Linked DNA regions of Oryzias latipes. The protein of the gene in region 1 purifies or fractionates together with the protein of each later gene. This does not show direct contact. Links are inferred from orthologs where the notes say so. Each region holds a gene or a part of one and is shown on either strand. Other genes may lie near its edges.

The links. The genes of interacting proteins can lie anywhere in the genome.
Region 2: the proteins of pym1 (region 1) and rps16 purify together in Homo sapiens (co-immunoprecipitation; 3 studies listed by BioGRID and IntAct, with this or other methods). This does not show direct contact. The link is inferred for Oryzias latipes from reciprocal best matches to the Homo sapiens genes PYM1 and RPS16.
Region 3: the proteins of pym1 (region 1) and rbm8a purify together in Homo sapiens (co-immunoprecipitation; 11 studies listed by BioGRID and IntAct, counting the BioPlex papers as one, with this or other methods). This does not show direct contact. The link is inferred for Oryzias latipes from reciprocal best matches to the Homo sapiens genes PYM1 and RBM8A.

Annotation. Positions count from the first base shown.
Region 1 is NC_019865.2:22,063,040-22,067,230, reverse strand, and holds the start of pym1 (partner of Y14 and mago), read left to right. Parts: upstream 1-1,391; 5' UTR 1,392-1,617; coding exon 1,618-1,648; intron 1,649-2,944; coding exon 2,945-3,038; intron 3,039-4,191. UniProt on the Homo sapiens protein: Key regulator of the exon junction complex (EJC), a multiprotein complex that associates immediately upstream of the exon-exon junction on mRNAs and serves as a positional landmark for the intron exon structure of genes and directs post-transcriptional processes in the cytoplasm such as mRNA export, nonsense-mediated mRNA decay (NMD) or translation.
Region 2 is NC_019881.2:19,224,423-19,228,409, forward strand, and holds rps16 (40S ribosomal protein S16), read right to left. Parts: upstream 2,538-3,987; 5' UTR 2,462-2,537; intron 2,370-2,461; 5' UTR 2,366-2,369; coding exon 2,318-2,365; intron 1,862-2,317; coding exon 1,760-1,861; intron 1,414-1,759; coding exon 1,317-1,413; intron 1,241-1,316; coding exon 1,193-1,240; intron 686-1,192; coding exon 540-685; 3' UTR 501-539; downstream 1-500.
Region 3 is NC_019874.2:29,126,620-29,130,849, reverse strand, and holds the start of rbm8a (RNA-binding protein 8A), read right to left. Parts: upstream 2,801-4,230; 5' UTR 2,793-2,800; coding exon 2,732-2,792; coding exon of another isoform or gene 2,726-2,731; intron 2,212-2,725; coding exon 2,152-2,211; intron 2,073-2,151; coding exon 1,995-2,072; intron 1,429-1,994; coding exon 1,292-1,428; intron 1-1,291.

The sequences.
Region 1 (4,191 bases):
AACAATGTAGTCGTTATTTTAACGAATAAACAAATAAATAAGCCCCCCTCCCCGAATTGCTACGGCCACATCCCCGTTTCTGCTTCAGACCTTTATTTGGGTAAAACCCCCCATTCCTTCTGAGCTCCTCCGTCCAGAGGTTACGTTACCGTTAGCATGCTAAACAATACGAACGCTAGCCTGACGCAGCGCAGTTTTCGCTCGTTATTTAACAAACGGGTTTAAAACTCGAGCGAAAAAAATGCGATACAGAGTGCAACACACATTACAGATGTTTCATAACAGCGTAAATAAACGAATGCAGTTTTTTCGGATACATTATTTAGCGCAGAGCTAGCTGGCTGCTCTGTTGGTCAGGGCTGGGATCAGACACTCAACTTTAGTGGAAAATAACAAAGATACTCCTTTATCTGCTGCGCTTTTATCCAGTTGCTTAAAACAGACAGTTTTGTATTGATTAGTTAAATACATAAATAAAATTAAATGAAATACCTACTTGATGCTGGCAACAAAGTCTACAGTAGCTTCTGGAAAAACGGTTACCGCAGATCCAACCGTCAGCCGTCTTTAATGCCAAGCAGACTGCTGCTGTGGCCAATTATTTTCCTCGACCAGGCCCCTTTGCGGTTGCCAGGTTGGGTTCACAAAATATTTTATTTTATTTTATTTTATTTTATTTTATTTTATTTTATTTTATTTTATTTTATTTTATTTTATTTTATTTTATTTTATTAAGATAACCTATGAAATGTACTCCCAACTTTTGATCTTAAATTTGTTTTTTAATTATATTTTTTCACTTGGCTCGTAATAGATTTCAGCTGAAAATAAAAATCATGGTTCTTTTATGTTATTCAACCATAAATAAATTAAGTATGAAAAGTAAAAAAAGTATAAAATAATACATAACCTATGATAAGTTTAAACAAAAATCAGTGACAGTGACATCTATTTTGTACGATGGTGGCATTAAATTTAATTTGGGGAGTTTATTTTTGTTTCATAGATGGTTCTATAAACTAACAAGCAAATTCTGGATGAAGAATTATAATCTAAGGTGTCCATTCCAGATAGGAGTGTGAAATGTATGCAGAACTCTCAATAAAATTCTATTTTTGAGCTCAAAAGTTTATTTGGGTTTTTTTCTTCTCAAAAACCTATTCCTATAGAAAAGACATCATTAAAAGAAGGTTTACAACTCTTTTAATTAATGATTCTGTCTGGATTATTTATTGCTAAAATTTACAAGTTTCATATTTCCTAAAACAGTTTATTTTATGTAAAATACTAACTGTATATGATAGAGCATCCAGCGTTAACAGTGACCCAGACGCTTCTCAAGCAATATCTGGCAACTCACGGTCCACGTCGTCATTTCCGAGGTAAAACACCAGGGTCCGCTCGATTTATCTCCTTGCTCCGCCAGCTACCTTTCTAGTTGTTTGAAAGGGCAGTCATGTTATCTCCCTTCCACTTTAGCCTCCTCTTTAGAACAAACTCGGAGCTAATGTTTGAAAACCTGTAGCTTTTTTGCTGCAAGGGATTAAATAGTGAGGGAACGTTTGGGGACGTAGGGTCCAATTGAGGGGAGCGAAGCAGCACATTTATTACACCAAAATGGCAACCCCCTATGTCACAGATGAATCTGGTAAGACAGTGGTGCAGGTGGCAAACCTATTTTAAAGCGAATCTAAATCCACTTTATTCACATATTTTACTCTCTTAGTTCAGCTTTTTTTTATTCTTTCATCAGCGGATCGATAGTTATTTTGCGCCATGCAGTCGACTCTACTAGTGTTTTGCTGTTTTAGCAGCTCATGTTGCTGCTAACTTAACATTTCTCATCGAGCGACAGTTAGCTTGTTGCTGTCGCTCTCGAGGTTTATTACATATAACTGAACGCTTTGTATAACCATTAGTGACTCAAAAGAAAGACTTTTGTGGCCACAGATGTGTTTTTGTTTGTTTTTAAAGCGTAGTTTTCGCCTTTATTTATGTGCAGTTATTTGCCTGATTCTGCATTAGCAGGCTAGCATTAGCATTGTCACTAATGTGACGAAAGCGACAGCAAACAAACTATGACGACATTTTACTACCGCTAGAGCTCCATCAAACCTATTATTTTTAAGCAAACCCCTTTATTTTTTCCTCTCTCTCTGCGTCTGTACATGAACGCATTGAGGTTCGCTGGATTCTAAATGAAAAAATAATTGCCTTTTCGTGTTCTGCTTCCAATTATAGTTTTAAATTGAGTTATTTTTTATTAGTATGTTTTTAGGGCTTTGTTAAGTGGCCTTTTATTTATAAGAAAACAAATGCAATTACTTTACCAAAAATAACTTTTATAAATAAAAATTTCCCTTGATATTATTCCTTTTTATGTATTAAATTAGGCGTCTACTACAACTACATATAGATATATATTACAACACAATTCTTTTATTGTAAAATTGTTTTTAGAAATAAATCTTTATTTCCCCCGCAAATCTTCCCCCTTGCAAATTATGCTATATTTAACTGCAGTTTTTTGTGGTAAGTTTGAAACATTTGAGATTGCTGCCCTCTGCTGGTTGAAATGGGTTTCCGTTACCATGGAGACGTGCCGTAAATTGTTACTTTAGGCTTGACGCAGAATAAGGAACCCACAGTCCTCATCTGACCTGTAAAACTTAACTAAGGACTTAAAAAAACAGATTATACACCTCAATGTAAATATTTTTTGTGGTTGGAGTTTCACATTTTTATTGGCCCTTGCAATTTAAAAAAAAAATCTTGCAAGTATTTTCAAGTTAATAAGCAATTTGGGTGCAAATCTGTATTGATTTTAGATGTAGATTTGAGAAACTGCAAAACATATGGACATAAGCTTTATGAGGCAATGCTTAAATGGAACTGGAGCTCTAAAGCAGAGCGAGTATCTGATGTTCTACCTACTGCTGTCCAGGAAAATACATTGCTGCTACCCAGCGTCCCGATGGAACATGGAGGAAGCCAAGACGGGTCAAAGAGGGTTACGTTCCCCAGGAGGAGGTCCCCGTGTAAGTGTATTTTCCCTAAAAGTGGCAGTCATGTTGACTGATTTCAGACCAAGCCAGAAACTGTCTCATACCAAGAGCTGATCATTTAGTGTAGGTTGATATGAGAATTTGTATTCAAGCTGCATATTTGATGCATAACTTGGTGGTTTAATGTAAGTAGCCTCTTGGAGAGACTAAAGTTCAATATATGGAGAGACATTGTTTCCCTAGATTTTATTAGATGTCTTAGCATTTATTCAAATAGACAAGAAACAAGAAATATTCCCTCCCCCATCATTTAAAGACACAGAAAAAGAAATGATCCTAAAAGCTTTTCCTAAATTTGTACTGATGTTTATACAGTAAAAAATGTAATGAAAATCTTCTCAAAATATCCTTAAAACTAATCTTTTTGAGTGTTTAAGCTAATGTAAAAAAGGGAGAATGTTTAAAGAAAGTAAATTGAAAAGAAATGGAAGAAATCTCATACATAACTCATTCCATTCATTGGTCAATTTTCAAAAAAGTCCTTATTTGTATATTTAAAAGCATTTTTTCAGGGAGATATTCCCATGTTGTGTTTGTTTGCAGTTGACATACTGTAAATACATCGCCAGTATTAACACAGATCATTTCGTTGACACTTTTTGTTTTTTTTATTATTTTATTTTATTTATTATTAAGTCTGAATGCTAGAAATGTTTTTCTCTATTCTCATCATTCCCACAGTCTTTATTTTTGTTTTTTTGCTTAAATCAAACAGTTTTTAAATGGTACATAATCAAACTCCCAACTAATAATTATAATAATAATAAAAAAAGATGTTTTGTTAGTTTTAAAATGTGAAGCTTCCTGCTTTCTGTTGGTTTCTTGCAGTGTTTAGTCGTGGTGCAGATGCTGAGTGTCTATGTCCATTTATGAATTCAATCTTAAGCAATCAATCAAACTATTCAGATGTGCTGGGATAGGTCAAAGACGTCAATCAGACTTAAAGAAGACATTCTCACTTTAGTGCAGACACACACAGCCTGTGCATAGTTTGCAAACTTCCAGTTTTCAGAGCAGAAGTCATTTGAATGTTGCACAGGCATTTCTAAGAGCACACCATAGGGATCCTGGTGCATTTGGGACTTTAAAAACTTTCCCTCTGTGGGCTTTTCCTCACATTTCATGG
Region 2 (3,987 bases), on another chromosome or scaffold:
CCAGTTACTTTAAGACTCTGAAAGTATCTTTTAGCAAACATCTTTTCATAGTAATTCTGAGATTCATCTATTTACCTGTGTGTGCATTGCAAAAGGAATATACATTCACATTGTTGATGTGTCTATGGGATGTAAATCTTTATCCAAGGTTGCCCCTCGGTGACATATAGTTATTGGAGTTTACTTCATTGTTCCTATCAGTTACATTTTTAACTGTCTGTCTGCTGCATTTCACACTCACATTTTTTAAAAATCTTTGTCAATCCAGGAAAATCCTTAAATAATAGCAAAAGTATTCATGCAGTTTTATTTAAAATGTTTAAAATCATCTTTTAAGAAATAAATTCACAAAGAAAATAAAATTAAAGAGCAAAAATTTAGCTTTTAAAAAGACTTTGCTTTTAGGTTCATGGCAGGTTAACAGCTACATCTACGTTTGAAGGATCGTGGGATGAATAGTAAAAACATTTTTTAAAAGTCAAAACTCCAACAGCAACATCCTTCTTTCATCCAGTTTATTGCATAAATGTACACAGCGATTAACGGTAGGACTTCTGGTAGCGGGCACGAGCTCCAGGTCCACCGAACTTCTTGGACTCGCAGCGACGTGGATCAGCGACCAGCAGGGTCCGGTCGTACTGGATCAGGATGTCTTTGATCTCCTTCTTGGAGGCTTCATCAACATCTGAAGAAGAAAAAAAAACATTCAGATTATTAGAACCTTAAATATCTCAATCAGCTGGCAGCTGTTGCTACTTTTCTGAATATGTTTCCATCTTCTTTGCATTTTTTAATGGATCTTTTTGGTCACATTTAGGGTTTCCCACCGTTCATGGATGGATTTATAGATGTGAAGCAGAATCTGCGTCATCACTTTTCCTTTGACACCAAAAAGCAGCTTTAATCTTAAATGTTGATCAAACTTCTCCTATCAGGACTTTGTGTTTTTCTTTTTAAAGTCCTTCAACTCTGGTCAATCACTGAGTAAATGTACAGCCCAGCACTAAGGAAAGTCGGCCTTTATTTTTACCCAGAGATCTTTGCATAAACCAGATTTAAATGAGCATAAATTGTGCATACAAATGTCTTTCTGTCTTATAAGAAACATTAATGGATCTTTAACATATAAAACACTAGCTTAATGTTTGTACATATGACATTTTATGATGTTTGTTTACAGAATAAAACTTACACTTCTGGTAGTATGCAACCAGAGCCTTAGAGATGGCCTGACGGATGGCTGTAAAACAATACGATAAAAGTCAAACATTTGGGGAAACAACAGGCTAACACTTCATGTGGTGTTGTGATCTTACCATAGACTTGTGCGACATGTCCACCCCCCTTCACTCGGACTCTGATGTCAACTCCAGCAAAACGCTCCTTTCCCAACAACAGAACTGGCTCCAGAAGCTGATCACAACAGCTAGTTTGTTAATGGATTTGCTCAATTTATAGGCAAATTCTTGTAAAGTAACAAACAAAACAAAATACTAGAAAGATAAACTTTATCTTAGTTTGAAGGGATAGAAAACATTAAAACTACTATAACTTGTTAATACACACAAACTTTTGAGGTTAATCACACAGATGATGGGAAAACCTTTACGATCATGTCATACAATACCGTTTTGGGTCATATTTAGCAGTTACAACGTAGATTAGACGTTAAAAGAGCGTCAACGTCCCTAAGTGTTACTTCAAAATAAAGGCATCGCACCTTCTACTTCACTAAAATTCAAGGAATCAAGATAAGAACCTTGTACTGAAGTGTAGAAGGCTCCACCATCTCCAGGGGTCTGCCGTTCACCTTGATCAGGCCATTGCCCCTCTTGCAGTGGGCAACTGCTGTGGCCGTCTTCTATAAGAAAAAAAGATACATTCATTTTAATGCCAATTTATCAATATTTTTTTTGACAAATTAGCTCAAGCGACATTATGTTATGTAAACATAACATATAGATGTGTACCTATTCTATTATATCAAATGTGGTGCCGTATTGTAGCAGATTTAATACTAAACTGTTATTTTGGGCAGAGCTAATTAGCTAAGCTAAGGGCTAATGTAAAGCTCCACTAAACAAACCACAAGAACATTGTTGTAAATAAAAAATAAAATAAAAAACATATCAATAATAGAAGGTGTTCGCGTCTGTCTGACTGGTTCATTAATACGTAACATTTAAGCCACACAATTACAAAGCAGTAATATTTTTGGTTATGGCCTCTTTACGTTAGCAACTTTAGCTAGCATTCGCTAGCATGGAAGTGAAGCCAGCAACACCACACGTGTAATAAACTCCACATTTTTACTTACTTTACGTCCAAACACCTGGACAGACTGCAGAGGACCTTTAGCTGGCATGTTTCTGAAATACACAGAAAACAAAAATTTAAAGTTAAGAAACACTATAAGAGCATATTTAATGTGATTTTGTCGGGATCTGTCTCCGAAACACACCGCCTTCAACTAGGATGCCGCAGGAAGAGGCCGACGGGGTCTCACACGCCGAGAATCAGGGGTTGTTTACGGCAGTCCAAGCTCATTTGCGGCAAGATTTTCGACAGTTGTTCACGCTCACGTCTAATCTTCATAATTTTACATTTTTAATACTGCTTCATGTTTTTGGATTTTACTTCAATGTTCCAAATGGAAAAAATGTGTGTGTAATTTTGATTTTTGTTAAAAATAAATTACAAAAGAATGAACTTTGAAAAGAATAATATATATTTGTGCTTATTTCTTTTTATATGTTTTTATTTTATGTGTTTTAAAATTTAGTAGTATGAAAATAGGCTAAACAAAGCGCAAAAATAAAAGGTTCAACTGGGGTGATTGGAAAACAGATTAAAGTATTGTTAAATTTAGCCACATATAGTAAAAGGTAAATGAAAAAAATGAGAGTTATTTTGTTTACAACTTACAGCTTAGTTTTGGAGATATTTGTGAAAGGGACAAAAGGGAAAAAAAGCTTTAAATGAAATCAAATTAAAATTGCTAAAAAAAAAAGTAAACTTAAGTCTTTACATTCTAACACCAGTATTCAAAGAAAACGAAAAATTTTGAAATGTAATCATATTTGTTAAAAATTAAATCCACTTTAAAAGATAAAGATTTTGGAGTTGCTGTGGCTTTTTCCTCGTTTTAGTTTCCAAATGTTGTTTTTTTTATTTTTTATTATACTTTATTAACTTTTCAAGAAAAGAACACAAAACAAACCTCTGGTGTATATTGAGTTCTGTAAAATTTTCGATATTGGTTTTCCCTGAGTTTGTTGCATGTAAACGTCTTTTGAGCAGATACAAAAGCATTTGACCAAGTTTCAACATCAAGGTCAATTCCCAAATCTGTCTCCCAACGATACTTAGATCTCTCACTTGTTAGTGAGCCACTTGTCAGTGCCATTAATTGTGCATGAAAGAGAGAAAGGAATTTCTTCTTGGAGGTGGCATTTTCATTAACTTTCAAAAGAAAACTTTCTGCTGGGTGTAGGATTGGTTGGTCACCTGGGAAAGAGAGGGAGGTCCGAGCAAAGTGTCTCACCTGTAGGAAACCTAAAAAATCTTGGCGTGATATCCTGAATCTATCTTGAATTTGTCCAAAAGACAGAAAAACAACTTTTTCAAAAAAGTTGCAGACATGTTTTAAACCCTTATCATGCCATTTGTTAAATATCCCAAAATCTAAGCCTGTGGAGAATGCTACGTTTTTAATAAGAGGCTGCATCACACTGGAAAAGTTTTTTCGACCCATTTGATTCCTGATTCTGTTCCAAATTCTAAGTGTAACAATAAGAATAGTGTTGTTCTTTATCCCCATTGGAAGTTTAGTTGGATCTAGGGATAATAGACTCAGTAGTGGGAAAGGCTCATAACACCAACTGTCTACATGCGGTTCAGATTGATGCAAAAATGAGTGTAACCATCCTGATATAATGTGTAAATGACAGGCCCAGTAGGAGTACTGAAGGTTAGGCAATGCCTGAC
Region 3 (4,230 bases), on another chromosome or scaffold:
ACAGGTTTAATGTTCGATCTAATGTCAAGACAAGATGTGTTTCAGTTCTTGACGTGAAATAATGGAAGGAATTGAGCGATGAATTAAAATGACGTAATTCTCAGTTAAAAGAAAAAAAGTCTAAAACATATTAAAGGTTACAAAACACAGATGTAGAAGGACTTTGTTTACTTGTCTCCATTTATTAAGGACTGTTTCCTACTTTTTGGTTTGTTAAACTGATTAACTTGGACATTGAAGGACAGGCATATAATAAGCTTCATATGCTTCTGCCTATTTTTTTAATTAATTGTTTATACTGTATGTTAGGTAAACAATGCAAATGACAAACTAAACTAAACCAATAAAACCAAAGCAGACATTTCTAAATACTCCAGTGGAAAAGCCGGGTCTGTTCGGATGAACACAGAACTGATATCCTGCTAACGGAAAACATTTTTTTAGCCCAATTAGGTGAAATGGAATTTTTTTCCAGTTATAAACTGGTTGAAAAACACTGCACCAAAAGAGAAAAACATATTTTTTTTGAGTGAAAATACAGTGACAGTCAGGCTTTAAGTATCCTCAGACTCGTTTTAAAACTGAAAAACAACCCTTTGAAATCTGACAATTATTATAATACAGTTCTGATCACAAAGTGCAGATGTCAGACGGTTTCCTCCTTCACTGAGCAGACCGTGAAGTAACAAACTGCAGAAAGGTCAACCCTCTTCTTCTCACGGCCCCCCAAATGCTTTTCTCATCCATTTTTGTGTCGTGCAGTTAGACCAGAATTATGCCAAAGCTTTTATTTTGGTGGAAAAGTCAAAGACTCAACACTGAGCATTTTAGCCTTTAGTGGCGGCCAAACACCAATAAGACGGAAAGAAAATCCCTCAGTAATAATAAAGCCGAAATAGTTTGTTTTTCATACGACTGTTCTTAAATATCAGCTTCACTTCACAGAAACTAAAGTGCTGCTACAAAAGGGCAGTCCAGGCTCTCTCTTAACCCCTTCACGCAACTGTTCTGAGAACACAACAGCCTTATTTTAGCAACCAACTTTCTTTTCTACAAGTATTATAAAATATATGATTAAATCCTACTGAATGAAATCTTCCACATCATTAATATGATGACTTCCATCCTTCCCTCTGATAATTACTGCCTAAATGCTTGTTTTTAATGTTGATCAAATATTCACTTCTTCCGCTTAGATGTTCATTGGAACATAAGCAACATTTGACATCCAAATGTTGTGTCTTTAAAATACAAAATGTGTTCAAAGAAAAAGGAAATGGTTTAAACTCACCTTCAGATAGCCAGTTCTGCGATCCAGATTAAGATGGAGGTTCTTGATTTCCCCAAACTCTGAGAACTTATCGTGGATGTCTTCCTCTGTGGCCTCCTCGTGCACGCCCGTCACAAACAGGATCCAGCCTTCTACAGCTGCAGAGAGGGGAGGGAACAGGGCATCAGACACCCAAACCCCCCAGTCTCCACACCAAGACAAGCAGATGAGTTTACCTGACCTGCTGGCATTCACGCAGTTTCAAAAGTAAAAGTCTGCATTGTTTCAGAGCAGTTTTTTAGTTTTTGCATAGGTCAAAATTAAAACGCAGCCGTGAAACTGATTTATAACTTTTAAACAATGAACTTTAGGTTAAATTAAATTAGTTATCTGCAGCTGTGATGCAGAGGTAGACCTTCAATCAAAAGTTCAGTTCCTGCCTTGCCTGCCCATGTGTGGACGTGTCTTTTGGGCAAGACACTTAAACCCCACAACGCTCGTGGGGGTTACAGGCTGTGACTGTGCATGGGACTGGGACTTTCAAGCCCTTAGTGGCTTAGTAAAGGTAGAAAAGCACAACATTGACCATTTATTCTATAATCAAATTAAATAAATAAAATAAAAAAAAATACACACAAAGATCTTAGATTTTTTACAATCTAAGTGTGACTACAGCTTGTTAATTTGCTTCTATCTGAACATGAAGGTCACTTGTAACACCTACATCTCTGAGGCCCAGGCTCATCTCCGTCCTGTTCCACAGTATCATAGTCCTCTTTGGCTCTGGACCGGGCCCCATCATCTGGAATCAAAAACTTAGAATCAAAACCAAACCCTAAGAAGTCAAGAAAAATAAAGGGAAAAATGCTTTGAAAGCTCACCTGCACCAAAACCTCGTCCTTTCCTCTTCTTGGCTTTCTCCTTTAACTTGTGGATGCTTTCTGCAAACAGACGAATAAAAGCCTAAGGACGCCGTTTTCAGTTTCCTTTAATTCACAAGAGTTTAGTTTATGAAGTTCTCAAATGGAGTAACTATATGTGTTTTTGGGTTGTTTTTTTAGGAACAATGTGCAATTTTTAAATCGACGTTTTTTCTCTCATCTGCGCAACACTAACAGCATGTAGCCGTTGGCTAACATGGATGCTAGCGCTAGCTTAATAGAAAACAAAACAGCTTTAACGTGCAGAGAAAAATACAGTCCGTTTAAATAATTAACATTTTAAAAGCGGCCCTCGCAAACACAGACGGCTGCACCCCCGCTGAGAGGCTCGCTAAGTGGATGAATGACCGCCTTTCGTTGAGTTAGCTGGATGCTAACACGGCTGCGGCCCGCTAACAAACACGCAGTCTGGGCTGAGCGTGATTCTGACCGCACGTGCGGCTATTTGAATTTCATTATTTGGCTGGCAGGACTGCGGTGCGTCCGCCTCTAATTGTGTAAAACAACGCAATACCGTCACCATCCTCATCCATAGGAAAGTCTTCTCCTCCCGCCTCATGAAGGTCCAACACGTCCGCCATGATGTCTGTTTGACTGAGTACGAACAGCGCATGCGCACGGAGAATCACTAAAGAGTCTGAGTACGTAACTTCCGTAAAGATTTTTTTTTAAACTTTATTGTACAAAACGTAAGTAAGTTTAATACAAAACACAATTTTGCTAAGTAAACTTCAGATATGCCAGGGTAGCATACATATTACAGGAGTTTTAGATAAAAAAAAACATTCAGATTTCAACAACTTTCATACAAACATGCAGCTTTCTGATTAAGACTTTTGGAGATGTTACTGAGATACATTTAAATTTGTTTGATTAATAACACAGGGAAAAAATAGGAGATGAAGAAAATTTGCATTTATTAATATAAAATTAGTCAAATATAATAATAAGATTAATAATGAGTTTTTATTTGAAAATGAAATTTTTGTTATTAATTTTTAGTGCAGAGTTTTATTATAATATTCATGATTAATATCACATGTGTTACTGGTAAAAATGCATAATATTAAACGATAATTTATGTTTTAATAATCATGATTTCTAATTTATCCCTTATGAAATAATTTACATTTATCATCATGAAAACTTTTTATTTTTGCAAAGCATTTTAACTGAAACTGCTTTCATTGGGCTTGAGATGATTGTTTTACGTGGTTTGTGCTTTTTATCTTTTATGTTTTTATATGTATATATATATATATATATATATATATATATATATATATATATTTTAACCTGTGATCTTTGTCTGTGAAAGGTGCTATGCAAATAAAATTTACTTACTTACTCAATCATGATATTAATAAATAATCATGATTTTTTATACTTTAGTGTGGACAATTTAATGCAATATAATTAATGATATATTTGTTATTAATAGCATTGTTAAAATTTCCATGCCATATATTTTCAAGAATTGAAAATTGTTGTTATCTTGGTATTATATTTAGTGTCATCACTGATATAATGAGAACAATGAGAAATGTATACATTTGTTTTAAACATTAGTGTCAACATTCACACAACAAAAATATGATTTAAAATACTTTATTATACTGCAAGGGATAGCATTTCTATTATTAAAATTGTGACTATACTTGTTATTAATATTAGAGTTGCAATTTCTATCATAATTATTATTAGTACATTCTGTGTTAATATTGATGTCAAGGTTTTAGAATCAGAATCATCTTTATTACTAATAAGAGCATGACTGCACATGTAAGGCATTTGACTGTAGTGTTGTCTGCAAACTTCAAGAGTTTCACAGAAGTTTATATTTGTGATTGATACAATATTTGTGATTTACACGACTGTTTACATATTTATTAGATTAATCATTACTTAATTAATTGTAATATTATTTTCATTGCTACAGTCAGAACTTCAGCTTTCTGGGTGAAATAGTTTTTACCATCATCTATTTTTTTATCAGGAGGAGGAATGATTAAAAAAAAA